4 linked regions of the Macaca mulatta genome follow. The protein of the gene in region 2 purifies or fractionates together with the protein of the main gene of each other region. This does not show direct contact. Links are inferred from orthologs where the notes say so. Each region holds a gene or a part of one and is shown on either strand. Other genes may lie near its edges. The genes, in order: CNNM4, PTP4A2, CNNM2 and RABGGTB.

Region 1 (3,565 bases), on a different chromosome or scaffold from region 2:
TATCTGTGTGTGGTATCTCACTGTGTGTCTCTGTGTGTGTGTGTGTCTGTGGGTGTGTATATCTGTGTGTGGTATCTCACTGTGTGTCTCTGTGTGTGTGTGTGTGGGTGTGTATATCTGTGTGTGGTATCTGTCTCTGTGTGTGTGTGTGTCTGTGGGTGTGTATATCTGTGTGTGGTATCTCACTGTGTGTCTCTGTGTGTATGTGTGTCTGTGGGTGTGTATATCTGTGTGTGATATCTGTCTGTGTGTGTGTGTGTCTGTGGGTGTGTATATCTGTGTGTGGTATCTGTCTTTGTGTGTGTGTGTGTCTGTGGGTGTGTATATCTGTGTGTGGTATCTCACTGTGTGTCTGTGTGTGTGTGTGTGTCTGTGGGTGTGTATATCTGTGTGTGGTATCTCACTGTGTCTGTGTGTGTGTGTGTGTCTGTGGGTGTGTATATCTGTGTGTGGTATCTGTGTGTCTGTGTGTGTGTGTGTGTGTCTGTGGGTGTGTATATCTGTGTGTGGTATCTCACTGTGTGTGTGTGTGTGTCTGTGGGTGTGTATATCTGTGTGTGGTATCTCACTGTGTGTCTGTGTGTGTGTGTGTCTGTGGGTGTGTATATCTGTGTGTGGTATCTCACTGTGTGTCTGTGTGTGTGTGTGTGTGTGTGTCTGTGGGTATGTATATCTCTGTGTGGTATCTGTGTGTCTCTGTGTGTGTGTGTGTCTGTGGGTGTGTATATCTGTGTGTGGTATCTGTGTGTCTCTGTGTGTATGTGTCTATGGGTGTGTGATCTCAAGGACTAAGAGACCTTTGGGGGCCCCTTCTAGAGCTGAGGCAGCAAAGCTGCCCAGAAATTGGGCCCCAGCCAAGCAGAGCCACTGAGGTCGGAGCCACTGAGGTCGGGCGGCCAACACTGAACAGGCGGCGCCCGGTCCCTGCGGGGAGGTAAATGCAGCCGCAGTGTGCAGGCTCAGGCAGCAGGCAGCAGCGTGCCCCTCAGACATGCCACGTTACCTGTGAGCCAGCAGAGCAGGGAGTTCCGCTTGCCAGGCGGACACCCGACCTGGACTGAAGGCACTGGAGCAAAAGAGAAGGTCAGTGATGGGCACAGTCAGGAGACAGGACACGGAGCCACAGGCACAGGACAGAGGCAGACCTGACGGGGCCAGGCTGCTTTGGGCAGAGACGGGCCCAGTGGAGAAAGGGACGTGGCTCTGATGTGAAGGGTGCTCAGGGCACAGCAATGAGCCCTGTGCGGAGATGGGCAGAAGCTGGCTGAGTATGCCCAGTCATCTCCCCTCCCTTCTGGCCACACTAAGTGGGAACAGAGAGACTACGGGTGGAGGGACCAGGCCTCCGAGGCTTCGTTGCACAAGCAGTGCCTGGGGGAGGCCTCCCGTGCCTGCCCGCCCTTCTGAATGAGATTTCCTCAAGCTGAACAGAGAACAGCTGCTCTTGGAGGCACAGGAAGTCCTCCCCAGGCCTCAGGCATCTGGCAGGGTCCACCTGCTCAGAGCCCCTCTCTGGGGCCCTGTCTGTCCCCTGCCCAGGGAGCCTGCCATGCCCCACTCATCTGGTGGAGGGGCCGACGACACGGTGGGTAAGCTGAGCTGGGTGTCAATATTCATGGGTGCCCTACCCCCATGCCCCCTCGGGGTCCTTTCTGTCAAAGGACAATGAGGCACAGCACAGAGCTGCTCTGGGAACTGCAGCATGTACCCCACTGGCGTGGCCTGTTCTCCAGCACCAAAGTGGACTTTCTCTCTCTACCCTGCAGCAGCCTCGCCCCAGGACCGAAGGCTGGAGAGGAGCGAGGAGATGAGCTGGCGAGGCCTGGGCCTGCAGGGCTTTGTCTGCGGGGCTCTGCGGGGAAAGCCTGAGCCACTCAGCACCGGAGAGGGCACTGGGGCGGCCAGAGCGGCGCGTCCCCACACCTTCCATCACACCTCTCAGGGGGTGCCCAGTCTCCCTTCTGTCTGTCCCCAAGGCCCTTTATTCCATCGGAGCTGACCTCTAACCAAAACCCAGTAGCCGCGTCCCTCGGAAAGCCAAACCCATCTGTAGCCTGCCCTGGCAAACAGGCCCTCGCCTGGCTCCTGACCTCAGGCACTTTGGACGCCCAGACTCCCCTCCTGTCCTCAGGAGCAGGGCCCTGGGCCTTCCTCCCCACAGGCCTCCTCCCCAGGCAGACTGGTCTCCTCACCACCTCTGGACATGCCCTCCACTGCCTCCTGGCCTTTGCTCTAAAATCCCTCTCTCCTCTCTTCCCCTCCAGTTTCTGGACTCCATCCAAAGGGGCAGCTCCCTCCGCTCCTCCATACCACCCACTCCAGGCCCTGGCGGCTCCCACCTCACAAGCCTCCCTCTGCCCCAGCCAACTGGCTATGAGCTCTCGGGCCCACGCTCAGTTCTGGTGTCTGTCCACGGCTCCCCAGCTGCAGGGGGCCAGAGTGCAGCACAGACCCTGCCCAACAACTCACCAGAGGGGACCGAGGTCAGGGCCATAGTCCCATAGTAGGAAAAGGCGCCCGTCTCAAACTTCATGTTCTCCTTCCCTGCCTCCACCTCCACCTTCCCCTGAAAACACACAGGGCTGGGGTTAGAGACAGAGTGAGGGAGGAAAGAAAGGATGAGGCAGGATGGGGAGTAAGGAACAAGGGATGGTGGGGCAGGAGGAAGGGCCGGTACTGGAGCCCTGGAGAGCTCAGGGGCCTGACCTGTGGGATTAAGGGAGAGCACAGCCTCTCCTTCATCCTGTCAGGGAGAGCACAGCCACGTGGGGCAGGTGGGGCTCGAGGGCAGGCGGCAGGCTCCCCAGGCCGGGAAGCCATGCACCTCCGCAGCAGGTGGGAAAGAGGGCCCGAGGGGTGCTGCGGTGCCAGGGGGAGCAGGCGGCAGGCCCAGGGCTGAGTGGGCTCACCTGCAGAATGAGGATGAAGTAGTCGGCCGGCTTATTTCGGGTGTACAGGTAATGGCGGGCGTAGTACTTATTATGCTCATCAAACTTGAGTTCCTGAATGACATCTGGGTACTTGAGCAGCCGCAGCAGGATCTTCTCTGATATCAGGGAGGGGCTAAACTGGGGGACCTCTGTAGGAGGACAGAGAGGAGACCTTACACGGGGCTGGCCGGGTGGCCCTAAAGCTGGATCACTGTTGTGCGTCCACCCCAACCACAGTAGCCGCGCTGTGGCCAGACTCCCTCCCTGCTCGGCCGGCCCTCAGTTCTGTATCTCCCTGGGGAGGGAGCACGCTTGGCTTCTGACTGGATGGACCCGAGGCTGCCTGCCTGCCTGCCCGGGCTTGAACAGTGGCTCCTGCAAGAATCGCACGTGACCTTGGGCAAATTACATAACCCGCATCTCAGTCTCCTCATCTGTAATATGGGGGTAAAAGCTTCACAGGGTGGTTGTGAGGGCGAATGGGATAGCACGTGGACAGCGCTTAGTATATGTGACTATAATTATTGCATCAGCATCGATATCCCACAGGAAAAATAATGGAGAGGGAATTACCATCCCTTTAGCAAGTAAGGGGTGGGAAGGAAGATGAATTGGGTGGGGTGGGGGAGGGGGCA
Region 2 (4,117 bases):
TCGAACTCCTGACCTAGTGATCCGCCCGCCTCGGCCTCCCAAAGTGCTGGGATTACAGGCATGAGCCACCGCGCCCGGCCTTTCTCAAGTGTTTTCATACGTTATTATCGATCGTGAAAGCGCCCATGAGGTTGCTGATTATTATTTCTTTCTTTTTTTTTTTTTTGAGACGGAGTCTCGCTTTGTCGCCCAGGCTGGAGTGCAGTGGCCGGATCTCAGCTCACTGCAAGCTCCGCCTCGCGGGTTTACGCCATTCTCCTGCCTCAGCCTCCCGAGTAGCTGGGACTACAGGCGCCCACCACCTCGCCCGGCTAGTTTTTTGTATTTTTAGTAGAGACGGGGTTTCACCATATTAGCCAGGATGGTCTCGATCTCCTGACCTCGTGATCCGCCCGTCTCGGCCTCCCAAAGTGCTGGGATTACAGGCTTGAGCCACCGCGCCCGGCCTATTATTTCCACTTTATAGTTGATAATACTTGGAGAGAGGGAATCACTTGCCCAAGATCCTACATCCTGAAAGTCTGAATTTTGGCTTGTCAGGGACAGTTCTTAGAATGTGTGTGTGTCTTGTGGGCAGAGCCGGGGGTGGCGTATTAATATCCTCCACGAAGATGCACACGCTATTTATTTGGGGCCTCAGGAAGGGCAGCCAAGAACTGAGCTGCCCGGGTTCCCACTTCTGAGTTGGAAATCCCCAAGCACAGGACTTGGTGGCCACCCTGTCCCATCAGGATCTGACCCCAGGCCTGACGGCCTAGGAGCGAGAAAGAACCCTTCGACCTTGCGGGTCACACCTCGGCTGCAGGCCCTCGACCCAGCCCAGGTGCGGATGGGCGGGGCGCAGCGTGGGCGAACGACTCCCCAGGCCACGTTCTGCTTTTCCCTCCCCGGTCACATGGACTCGCCTTCCGTAGCCGGGAGTGCGGAGCAGAACGAACCACCAGGAGGAGGAGCGGGGGAGGTGCCCAGGGCAGTGGGTCAGAGCCCCGCGGGGCAGGTGGGCGGGCCCAACCGCCCGCGAGCCGGCCGGCCAGCCAGTCAGCGAACGCGGAGGGCGGGTCAGCTGCCCATTGAGCCGCGCCCCGCAGCGCCCCCTGAGGGGCGGCGGCGGGAGCTGGTTCCGGCTGCGCGCGCAGCGGTGGTGGCGGCGGCGCGATCGGCCGGGCTGTAACCGTCGTCCGTCCGGGAGTGGCTGGAGCGGCAGCGGCGGCCGGGCACGGCGCGAGGCGACGCCACAGGGCAGCGGCGGCAGCGGGGGCAGCGGCGGCAGCAGGAGACGCAGCGGCGACCGCAGCAGCAGCAGCAAGACGGACTCGTGGAGACGCGCCGCCGCCGCCGCCGCCGGGCCGGGCCGGGTGTCGCGCGCCGAGGCTGGGGGGGAGTCGTCGCCGCCGCCGCCACCGCTACCGCCGCCGCCGCCGCCGCCGAGGTGACTGAGGAGAGAGGCGCCTCCTCGCTCCCGCCGCCGCCGGACTTCAATGCCCAGTCCCCAGCTCGCCAGCGTGAGTGCGCCCCTCCCGGGCGGCCCCCGCGCCGGCGCCGGGGGCCTCGGGGAAGGGGAGGGCGGGAGGCGCTGCAGCCATTAGTACAGGCCGGAGACACGTCCCCGGAAGGAGGGCCGGGCCGGGCCGGGGCGGGGGAGCGAGGGTGGGTGAGCGAGGGGCGGGCTCGTGTGTGTGGAAGGGGGAGAGCTGTGCGAGCGTGGGGGAGAGTGTGAGTTGGTGAAGGGAGGGCGTGTGAGTGGGGGACAGGGCTAAGTGTGCGAGGAGGTGGGGGGAGTGGGAGCGGGTCGGGGGACAGTGTCGATGTTGGGGGAGTGTGGGTGCAGGCGAGGGAGGGTATGGGTGTGCGGGGAGCGTGTGGGCATGAGGGGTGGGGGTACATGAGTGAGAAGTGGGGGAGGAGAGAGTTGAGAGTGTGGTAGAGAGCGAGTGTAGGGGGAGAACATGGTGTGTGTCGGTGAGAAGGTGCGTGGCAGAGGCGGGAGTGTGGCAGGGTGTGCCGGCGTGTGTCCAGTGTGTGAGCAGGCATCCTGGAGGCCCTTCCTCTTCGTCTTTGTGTGTGGCGATAGTGAACCGTGGTGTGTTGGGTTAGGGAGTTCTTTCCGGGAGCATCTTGTCCCTGGGTGCTCAGGTTCAAGTATGAGGAAAGGGGGTATAAGTCTCTTCTAGTGGCACTATGATCTTCTGGCTCTGGGATTTTAATTTTTTTCCCCCCCAGAAAAGATGTGATGTGTTTTTTTTGTTGTTGTTCTATACGTTTTTTTTCTCCCACGTTTCATAACTTCAAAGTAAATTTTCAAATTAGTCAAGGATGCCATCCTATCCTAGTCTGGGTCCCTGAGAGCTAACGAAAAGAAGTGTGTCTGTTGCCCAAGAGCCTACACTCTGGCCTGTAGAGTGTTCAGGAGCATAAACTTTTGTAAAGTACTGCTAGTTTTTCAGGTGAAGAGTATTTTATTGTTAGGTAAATTAAACTATAGGCTAGTTTATTATTTCCTGGAATTTGTCAAGAAATTAGCAGTGACCCGCAGTTCTAGTGTCACTGTAGGCATTCAGCAAATGTTTGTCTGGAGTCACCAAACTACAACCACTGCTGAGTTGGAATATGGTACTTGCTGTCATGCTCTGTAACAGAGTAGTTTCAGAGGGAAGTGAGTGAAGTTATGCCTTGCCGAATGTGCAAAAGGAAATTAAGGATGCAGAATGACACATTATCAGGGCTTCAGAATCACTTGCCAGCACACCATTGTATTGGTGAAGATGGTGAGAAGTTGTTTGCTGGTATTCTGATCTTGGCATTTTTAAGTTTCATAATGAATGGACTAATTATTGTCATGGACTTTTCCCATTCTTGAGTTGTAAAAGTAGGGATTCTTGATGAAGAGTAGTACCTCGATAGGGATTTTACACTTTGATATAATATTAAAAATGATGTTATCTTAAAAATAATTGTCTCTTAGAAGTTGGTAGTCTTTCAGTATAAGCAAAAAGTAGTATGGTCCTTTTGTTGTTGTTGTTTTTTTTTTGAGATGGAGTTTTGCTCTGTTGCCCAGGCTTCCCAGGTTCAAGTAATCTCCCGCCTCAGCCTCCCAAGTAGCTGAGAATACAAGTGTGCGCCACCACACCCAGCTAATTTTCATAGTTTTAGTAGAGACGGGGTTTCACCTTGTTGGCCAGGCTGGTCTCGAACTCCTGACCGCCACTGATTCACCTGCCTTGGCCTCCCAAAGTGCTGGGATTAACAGGCGCGAGGGTGGTCCTTTTGATCGTGAACATAATAGAATTACAGGCAAAATCATTGATGTGTAATTAAAAGTTAGAATTTATATTTTTCGGCTGGGCGTGGTGGCTCACGCCTGTAATCCTAGCACTTTGGGAGGCTGAGGCAGGAGGATCGATTGAGCCCAGGAGTTCAAGACCAGCCTGGGCAACGTGGTGACTCCATTTCTACAGAAAATACAAAAGTTAGGCATGGTAGTATGTGCCTGTAGTTCCAGCTATCCTGGAGGCTGAGGCGAGAGGAACTTGTGATTTCAGGAAGTCAAGGCTGTAGTGAGCCAGTGAGACCCTCTCTCAAAAAAATAAGAAAGAAATAGTAAATAGTATTGTTACTATTCAGTGAGGGAAGGAATTAATTAGTGTTAATTGCCTACTGTGCTACAGGTGCTTTTTATATTCATTTAATTCTCACAACTACAAGAAAGGTGGTCTCTTCATTTGCATCCATTTGGCTTATTTTGAACCACTTCTGTTTGCCCGGCACTAGGGATACAGCGATGAGCTCCCATGGATTTACAGTGGTGAGAAGAAGAGATACAGAAACTTAAAAGGTTAAGTAACTTGTCCCAGGTCACACAGATAAGAAGAATTAGTGCTGGATTAAAAATCCAGGTCTTTGACTCCAAAGCTGTTGATTTTTCCAATACATCATACTGCTGTTTCAATAGCTCATCTTACATTGAGGTTTCTCATCCACATGATGACCTAGCAGCTTGTACTTAGGAGAGCTGTTGAAATAGAGAAGGCTGGAGGCAAGGGGATCATTTAGGAGATGCTGACTGGAGGCTCTTTGGGGCCTAAGCTAGGCTTTTATGTGGGAGGAGATGCTGCCTTGA
Region 3 (4,050 bases), on a different chromosome or scaffold from region 2:
GACGTTTGACGCATTTATAAAAGCGGCGGGGGGGGGGGGCCGGAATGTGCTTGTAGAATACAAAAGAGGTAGAGAAACATTAAACATTTTTAATGTTTTAAGTTTCAAGGAAAAGATCAATTTGACAGCTACTTTGCTACCTCGTCACCTCCAGGTGACGCTGGGAGTACTGGGGAGCTAGGTTTCCAGAACTTTTTGCTCTTGAGTGACCTATGACCCTAGCAGAGTTTGGCCAGTGTGATTAAGAATGAGCCTCTGCGGGTCTGCTTAGGATAGGATGCTTGCCGCCCTCCCATTTCCTTAACTTGCCTGGGTTCCTGTTGGGAATACAGATTCGGGGCCCTTCCCACTCTGTAAATATGGAAAAGGGTCTAGGAAGTATATACTTTTAGTAATAATATGTAGGGGTTCTATGACTAGCAAATTTGGGGAACTGTCCCTCTGACCGCGCCATCCGTAACTTTCTGTACACCTTTCGGGGTATGCCGCGGACCTGGAAAGCGTTGCAGGGCGCCCCTGCGGCCCGCAGGTGGCGCCATGTGATCGCGAGCCGCAGAGAGCGCGTACCCTAGGAGTCTTGAGGCGCGAGGACTGCTGGTCGGCAGCTGTGCCGGGGCCACCGACGCCGCTTACCCCAGCGGAGCGCCGCGCACGTAGAGTTGGGGACAGCGGCCGGTGCCCCGGCTTTTTAGGCTGTGTGCATCCCAAGCCGCCTCTAGTTGGCTTCTCGGGCCCCCGGGGCAGGAGGGCGCTGCGGCTTTCTGCCCACGAACTGACAACTGCAGAGCCAGCAAGCCAGTGCATCGGGAACCTGCCGCCTTGCGCCGCAGGGCTTTAGTCCAAGCCCGGCCGGTCCAGGCTCCCGGATCTACTACAGGGTCCCCCGGGGAGCGCGGGCCCCGGGGACGGCTCCTTCCCATTGGCAGCAGGACGGAGGCCACGCCCCTTTCCTACAACTCTCATCTTTGACTGGCTCTCGAGTCCCAGCTGGCCACGCCCCCTCCCCTCGCACATACACAAGAGTCACGCGCCTTTCAGTTGGAAACTTGGCGTGCAGAGGGGGACGGTGGCTCTCATCGCCCCACCCATTTACCTTGCCATTGGTTCGCGGAACGGCACACGGTCACGCCCCCATTCCAGCCCCCTGGCTGGGAGGGCGGGCGCCCGCTTGTGATTGGCCAGTGGGCCTGCCTCTCGCGGGAGCAGCCGGCGCTCCTCTCCCTCCCTCTGTCCCCTCCCGCGAGCCTCGGGGTTCCTCAGCTGGCCGAGGTCGAGTCAGTGTCAGTCAGGGAGGCGAACTGCTGAGCACTGGCCGCGGACGCTCAGTTGCAGTCTCGCCCAGGGGCAGGTACCTGCGCTCGCGCCGCCGGGTGGAAAGGATGAAGCCGCAGCTGGAGCAGCCACCCTATGATTGGCTGTGGCGCTTGTGAACCCAAAGTAAAGATGGCGGGCGGGCAGGCAGCCGCCGCACTGCCCACTTGGAAGATGGCGGCGCGCCGCAGCCTCAGCGCCCGCGGCCGGGGGGTCCTGCAGGCGGCTGCGGGGCGGCTGCTGCCGCTGCTCCTGCTGAGCTGCTGCTGCGGCGCGGGCGGCTGCGCAGCGGTGGGCGAGAACGAGGAGACGGTGATCATCGGGCTGCGGCTGGAGGACACGAACGACGTGTCGTTCATGGAAGGGGGGGCGCTGCGGGTGAGCGAACGGACCCGGGTCAAGCTGCGGGTGTACGGGCAGAACATCAACAACGAGACGTGGTCCCGCATCGCCTTCACCGAACACGAGCGGCGGCGCCACAGCCCGGGGGAGCGCGGGCTGGGGGGCCCCGCGCCGCCGGAGCCGGACAGCGGCCCCCAGCGCTGCGGCATCCGCACCTCAGACATCATCATCTTGCCCCACATCATTCTCAACCGCCGCACCTCGGGCATCATCGAGATCGAGATCAAACCGCTACGCAAGATGGAGAAGAGCAAGTCCTATTACCTGTGCACGTCGCTCTCCACGCCCGCCCTGGGTGCCGGCGGCTCGGGATCCGCGGGTGGCACCGTCGGGGGCAAGGGCGGCTCGGGGGTGGCCGGGCTCCCGCCACCCCCGTGGGCCGAGACCACCTGGATTTACCACGACGGCGAGGACACCAAGATGATCGTAGGCGAAGAGAAGAAATTCCTGCTGCCCTTCTGGCTGCAGGTGATCTTCATTTCGCTGCTGCTGTGCCTGTCGGGCATGTTCAGTGGCCTCAACCTGGGGCTCATGGCCCTGGACCCGATGGAGCTGCGCATCGTGCAGAACTGCGGCACGGAGAAGGAGAAGAATTACGCCAAGCGCATCGAGCCGGTGCGCAGGCAAGGCAACTACCTGCTGTGCTCACTGCTGCTGGGCAACGTGCTGGTCAACACCACGCTCACCATCCTGCTCGACGACATCGCCGGCTCGGGCCTCGTGGCCGTGGTGGTCTCCACCATCGGCATCGTCATCTTCGGGGAGATAGTGCCCCAGGCCATCTGCTCCCGCCACGGCCTGGCTGTGGGGGCCAACACCATCTTCCTCACCAAGTTTTTCATGATGATGACCTTCCCCGCTTCCTACCCGGTCAGCAAGCTGCTGGACTGCGTCCTAGGCCAGGAGATAGGCACCGTCTATAACCGGGAAAAACTGCTGGAGATGCTCCGGGTCACCGACCCCTACAACGACCTCGTTAAGGAGGAACTGAACATCATCCAAGGGGCGCTGGAGCTCCGCACCAAGACGGTGGAGGACGTGATGACCCCACTCCGGGACTGCTTCATGATCACTGGCGAAGCCATCCTGGATTTCAACACCATGTCTGAGATCATGGAGAGCGGCTACACCCGCATTCCAGTGTTTGAAGGGGAGCGCTCCAATATCGTGGACCTGCTGTTCGTCAAAGACTTGGCCTTCGTGGATCCAGATGACTGTACTCCCCTGAAAACCATCACCAAATTTTATAACCACCCCTTGCACTTTGTTTTCAATGACACCAAGTTGGACGCTATGCTGGAAGAATTTAAGAAAGGTGGGAAATTTTGGTCTCTTTCATTGGCTTGCTCTTTCTCTCTCCATCCTCTTCCCTACTTGAGCCCTCTACCCTCAGACCAACCCCCCAAGGCGAGTTGACCGGGATTTCTCCTTCTCTCTCTTAATTGCAAAGTTGAAAGGGTGGCGTGGATTTGGGGATGGATTGAACTAGTAAGTGCTACTAGGTTATTTTAAAGCACAAGACTGCCATCACTTACTTTTTACCATTATCAAAAAGCAGGCTGTGTAATTTCTGTGCATGACACTTTTTTTTTTTTGGTTCCGTGTGTGGGGCCTCTGTGCTTGAGGGGTCTGCCGCCTTCATTGTCTGGGTTCTCAGTGGGTAGGTGAAGGTAGGGGCTGGCTGATGCCATGCCATTTGGTTGACTTTAATCACAGGCATTTGGAAAACATGTAAATAGCTTTTGTAAACTCAGTGCAGTCGTTTTCCTTCTCCTTAAACATCCACACTGGCCTTTCAAAGATCGAAGTACATTTTCTATAGCTTCTGTTCCTGCTTGCCTGGCAACTTACGGGGAAGATTGAGGTCTGCCTTTGAGGGTAAGGGGCGGGGTAAACTAAGTATCGCCAAAAAAAATCACCCATTTTCGATGTGACTTCTCTTAGCTAGAAAAGTGTTGTTGTTGTTGTTGTTTTAAATTAAAATTACTAATATGTAACTTGGAAAGACTAGCGGTTAGCCAGCCTTTTGTGAAGAGGCTGTATGTCCCGTAGCCTTCTTCACTATTTGTTTACGTTTATCTGACAATAGTTACAGTTGCCCAAACCAAGTGTGATTTTGGCAGAAAGCTTGCACCTTTAACAGTGGGATGAATCCCTCTATTGGGGCTTATTTATTTCTTGACTCTTTCAGTCTAAGTGTTCTTTTTTTCCACCTTGGTCATCCGATACATTAAACTGAATTATGTCTCCGTCAACTCTCACTGTTCCAAGGTGAGAAATTATACAACACATCATTTCTTGCATTGTGGTATTTGTTCGCTTGACCATATAATGAAC
Region 4 (3,154 bases), about 44 Mb from region 2:
TAATTTTAGATCTATTGTTGCACAGGATTTCTGGCTATTACAAGTCAGTTGCATCAAGTAAATTCTGATTTACTTGGCTGGTGGCTTTGTGAACGACAGTTACCTTCAGGCGGGCTCAATGGAAGGCCAGAGAAGGTATTGTTTGATAAGCTCTGTTCTGCTGACTTTAGAACCTTGAGTGAATGCTGCAGCTTTGTCTTGCCTATTTCAATATTGTAAATTGGCCATGAGCTTATTTATTAACTTTCCCTCTTGCAAATTTTCAGTAATGCGTCCTACTAAAAGACTCCCCTTGGCAAAAGTAGAGCCCCGTGAGTTGAAATACTCATTGATCCTGATGTCCATTTCCAGACAGTCTTGCACAGGAATCTCCATGTTTAAGGACAGTTGGTTTTGGCAAATTGGATTTTTAAAAAATTAGGCTACAGAATTTTTGTTTACAGTCTTCTTATTTAAGGAATACCCAGATAATTTAGTTTGGAGAGAGGATATTATTAAATTTTCCTCCACATGATAGGTCCCTATATCAGGTCTGTAAGGGACAAACAGTGAATACTCATTTGCAACTATGTGATTTTCCTGTAGAGCAAGTGCAGCCATAAGTGGTAAGAAATGAATGGGTATGACTGTTCCAGTTAAAATTATTATGGACAGATATACTTATTTCATATGTCAGATTTTTTTTTTTTTTTTTTTTTTTTTTTGAGATGGAATCTTGCTCTGTTGCTCAGGCTGGAGTGAAGTGGCGCCATCTCAGTTCACTGCAACCTCCGCCTCCCAGGTTCAAGCAGTTCTCCTGCCTCAGCCTCCCGAGCAGCTGGGACTACAGGCGCACAGCTAATTTTTGTACTTTTATTAGGGACGGGGTTTCACCATATTGGCCAGGCTGGTCTCGAACTCCTGACTTTGTGATCCGCCTGACTCAGCCTTCCAGAGTGCTGGGATTACAGGCGTGAGCCACTGCGCCTGACCCAGGACTATTTTTAAATGATTTACAAATGTAAAATGTGTTCCTACACTATAGTCTAGATTTGACTCAAGGATTGTAGCTTGCTGTGCCCTCTGAATGGGACGTGGTGGTACAGTAGCTGGGATTACAGGCGTGCGCCACCACGCCCATCTAATTTTGTATTTTTAGTAGAGATGGGGTTTCATCATGTTAGTCAGGCTGGTCTCAAACCCCTGACCTCAGGTGATCCACCCTCCTAAGCCTCCCAAAGTGCTGGGAGTACAGGCATGAGCCACCGTGCTCAGCCTGTATTTTTATTTTTAAACCTCAGTTTTTCTGAGTGACAATGGGCAGAGAAACACCCACAGTTGCTGTCTACAACAGAGTGGAATAAAAAACTTGAGGAACTGTCAACAGAAAAATGGGTGGCCGTGCCTGGGCCTGCATTTGCTCACGATCTAGGGCAGCTTCTAATGGGTCTATGCGTTATTCAAGGATCTCATTAAAATGCAGCCTTGGGTGGGATTTTCTTCCTTACAGACTTATGTCACCATATTTTGAAGAGCTAGAGTTTAGTTGAATTTTAAGCAGGTGTGTACCCACCTGGACAGTGCTGGTAGAAAAACAGAACTGTACCCATGGATTTCATGATTATACTACTAGCTTCTTGGTTAAGGGGCTGAGTTAGGCATTTGTTGCAGATAGAAACAAGGTAGATGCACGCTTATCAGTGAGTACTGAGATATTTAGCATGGTTACCTATGAATTGGAGTTTGGTCTCTTCTTACCCATTAATTGATTATCTTTCATTCTAAGCAAGTATTTCATACCCTACATGTCAGTATATCCCTGGATTTCGTCCCTCCACATGGTTTGACACTTAGAACATCAGATTACTTGAGAGTGAGACTTAATCCACTTTTAAATTGTTCTCAAAATTAGGGAAATAAAAGAGAATGAAATTGTGGCAACTTTTTTCCCTCCTAGTTACCAGATGTATGCTATTCATGGTGGGTCCTGGCTTCCCTAAAGATAATTGGAAGACTTCATTGGATTGATAGAGAGAAACTACGTAATTTCATTTTAGCATGTCAAGATGAAGAAACGGGGGGATTTGCAGACAGGCCAGGAGATATGGCAAGTAATATTTCTGACATATTTGTATAAATTATTTTAGTGTCGCATTCCTTCATGGTTCCATGGATTTCCAGGGTGGTATTCCAAGTGTTGCTTTGAAAGCAGTGTTTTTTTCTATTTCTCGTAGAATGTATGAAGGATATAGAACAATCTTACAGAAATTTCTTGTCGCCTGTTGCTAACAAAATTAGTATATGGTAAAGGTCAGGTATTAATGATTTGAAGTTAAAGAAGTTTTCATTTTGTAATCTGTATATAAATTCTTTTTTAAATAGGTGGATCCTTTTCATACCTTATTTGGAATTGCTGGATTGTCACTTTTGGGAGAAGAACAGATTAAACCTGTTAATCCTGTCTTTTGCATGCCTGAAGAAGTGCTTCAGAGAGTGAATGTTCAGCCTGAGCTAGTGAGCTAGATTCATTAAAGTGAAAGCTGCATAGTATAGTTTTGCCATTTTAACATTTCTGTATTTGAAGTGCTTATTAAATCTAAAAATGAATACTGTTAATATTTTGTACATTGTGTTAAATTAATTTTAATAAATTATATAATTATACATATTGTAAAATAAAGACCTGTATTTTATTTTCTGCTCTTTATTCTGAAGTCCTGTTATTCTGACTACAGTTTTTTGTGTATACTTTTGTGTCTGTTATTTATGTTCAATAACTGAGCTAATGTAGAAGAACTCTAGGTTTCTACTTGATTTTTCTCCCATGTATACCTTTCATGTGTTCTATAGCAAGTTGATGTAAAATGGTTTGTCAACAAGAATGTTAACTGATGAAAGTGGATAGAACCCATACATGAATTAAATGATGCACAAAATAAATGGTTGTTGAAATTTGGAAATGATTCATAGGTTTGAATATGGTTATTCTGAATTAGTCACAGACTTAGGTTAAATGGCAGTCTACCATCTTAAAATGGGGTTGTGATTCGGACTGTACATATTTTTTAGCATTTTATATATCAGAATTACCCAAGGAAGGGGTTACCTTCAAATAAGGAAACACTAACAGTTGAGTTGATGGTCGCCACAGTATTTTTTTGCACCTATCTTTTTC

What was found.
Region 1: the proteins of PTP4A2 (region 2) and CNNM4 purify together in Homo sapiens (affinity purification with mass spectrometry; 6 studies listed by BioGRID and IntAct, counting the BioPlex papers as one, with this or other methods). This does not show direct contact. The link is inferred for Macaca mulatta from reciprocal best matches to the Homo sapiens genes PTP4A2 and CNNM4.
Region 3: the proteins of PTP4A2 (region 2) and CNNM2 purify together in Homo sapiens (affinity purification with mass spectrometry; 4 studies listed by BioGRID and IntAct, counting the BioPlex papers as one, with this or other methods). This does not show direct contact. The link is inferred for Macaca mulatta from reciprocal best matches to the Homo sapiens genes PTP4A2 and CNNM2.
Region 4: the proteins of PTP4A2 (region 2) and RABGGTB purify together in Homo sapiens (affinity purification with mass spectrometry; 3 studies listed by BioGRID and IntAct, counting the BioPlex papers as one, with this or other methods). This does not show direct contact. The link is inferred for Macaca mulatta from reciprocal best matches to the Homo sapiens genes PTP4A2 and RABGGTB.

The regions. Positions count from the first base shown.
Region 1 is NC_133418.1:5,456,754-5,460,318, reverse strand, and holds part of CNNM4 (metal transporter CNNM4 precursor), read right to left. Parts: intron 3,080-3,565; coding exon 2,910-3,079; intron 2,567-2,909; coding exon 2,470-2,566; intron 1,067-2,469; coding exon of another isoform or gene 1,004-1,066; intron 1-1,003. UniProt on the Homo sapiens protein: Probable metal transporter. The interaction with the metal ion chaperone COX11 suggests that it may play a role in sensory neuron functions. May play a role in biomineralization and retinal function.
Region 2 is NC_133406.1:208,945,237-208,949,353, forward strand, and holds the start of PTP4A2 (protein tyrosine phosphatase type IVA 2), read left to right. Parts: upstream 1-1,260; 5' UTR 1,261-1,478; coding exon of another isoform or gene 1,479-1,502; intron 1,503-4,117.
Region 3 is NC_133414.1:115,055,434-115,059,483, forward strand, and holds the start of CNNM2 (metal transporter CNNM2), read left to right. Parts: upstream 1-1,239; 5' UTR 1,240-1,407; coding exon 1,408-3,028; intron 3,029-4,050.
Region 4 is NC_133406.1:164,782,324-164,785,477, reverse strand, and holds the end of RABGGTB (geranylgeranyl transferase type-2 subunit beta), read left to right. Parts: intron 1-9; coding exon 10-135; intron 136-1,936; coding exon 1,937-2,086; intron 2,087-2,361; coding exon 2,362-2,502; 3' UTR 2,503-2,609; downstream 2,610-3,154. UniProt on the Homo sapiens protein: Catalyzes the transfer of a geranylgeranyl moiety from geranylgeranyl diphosphate to both cysteines of Rab proteins with the C-terminal sequence -XXCC, -XCXC and -CCXX, such as RAB1A, RAB3A, RAB5A and RAB7A.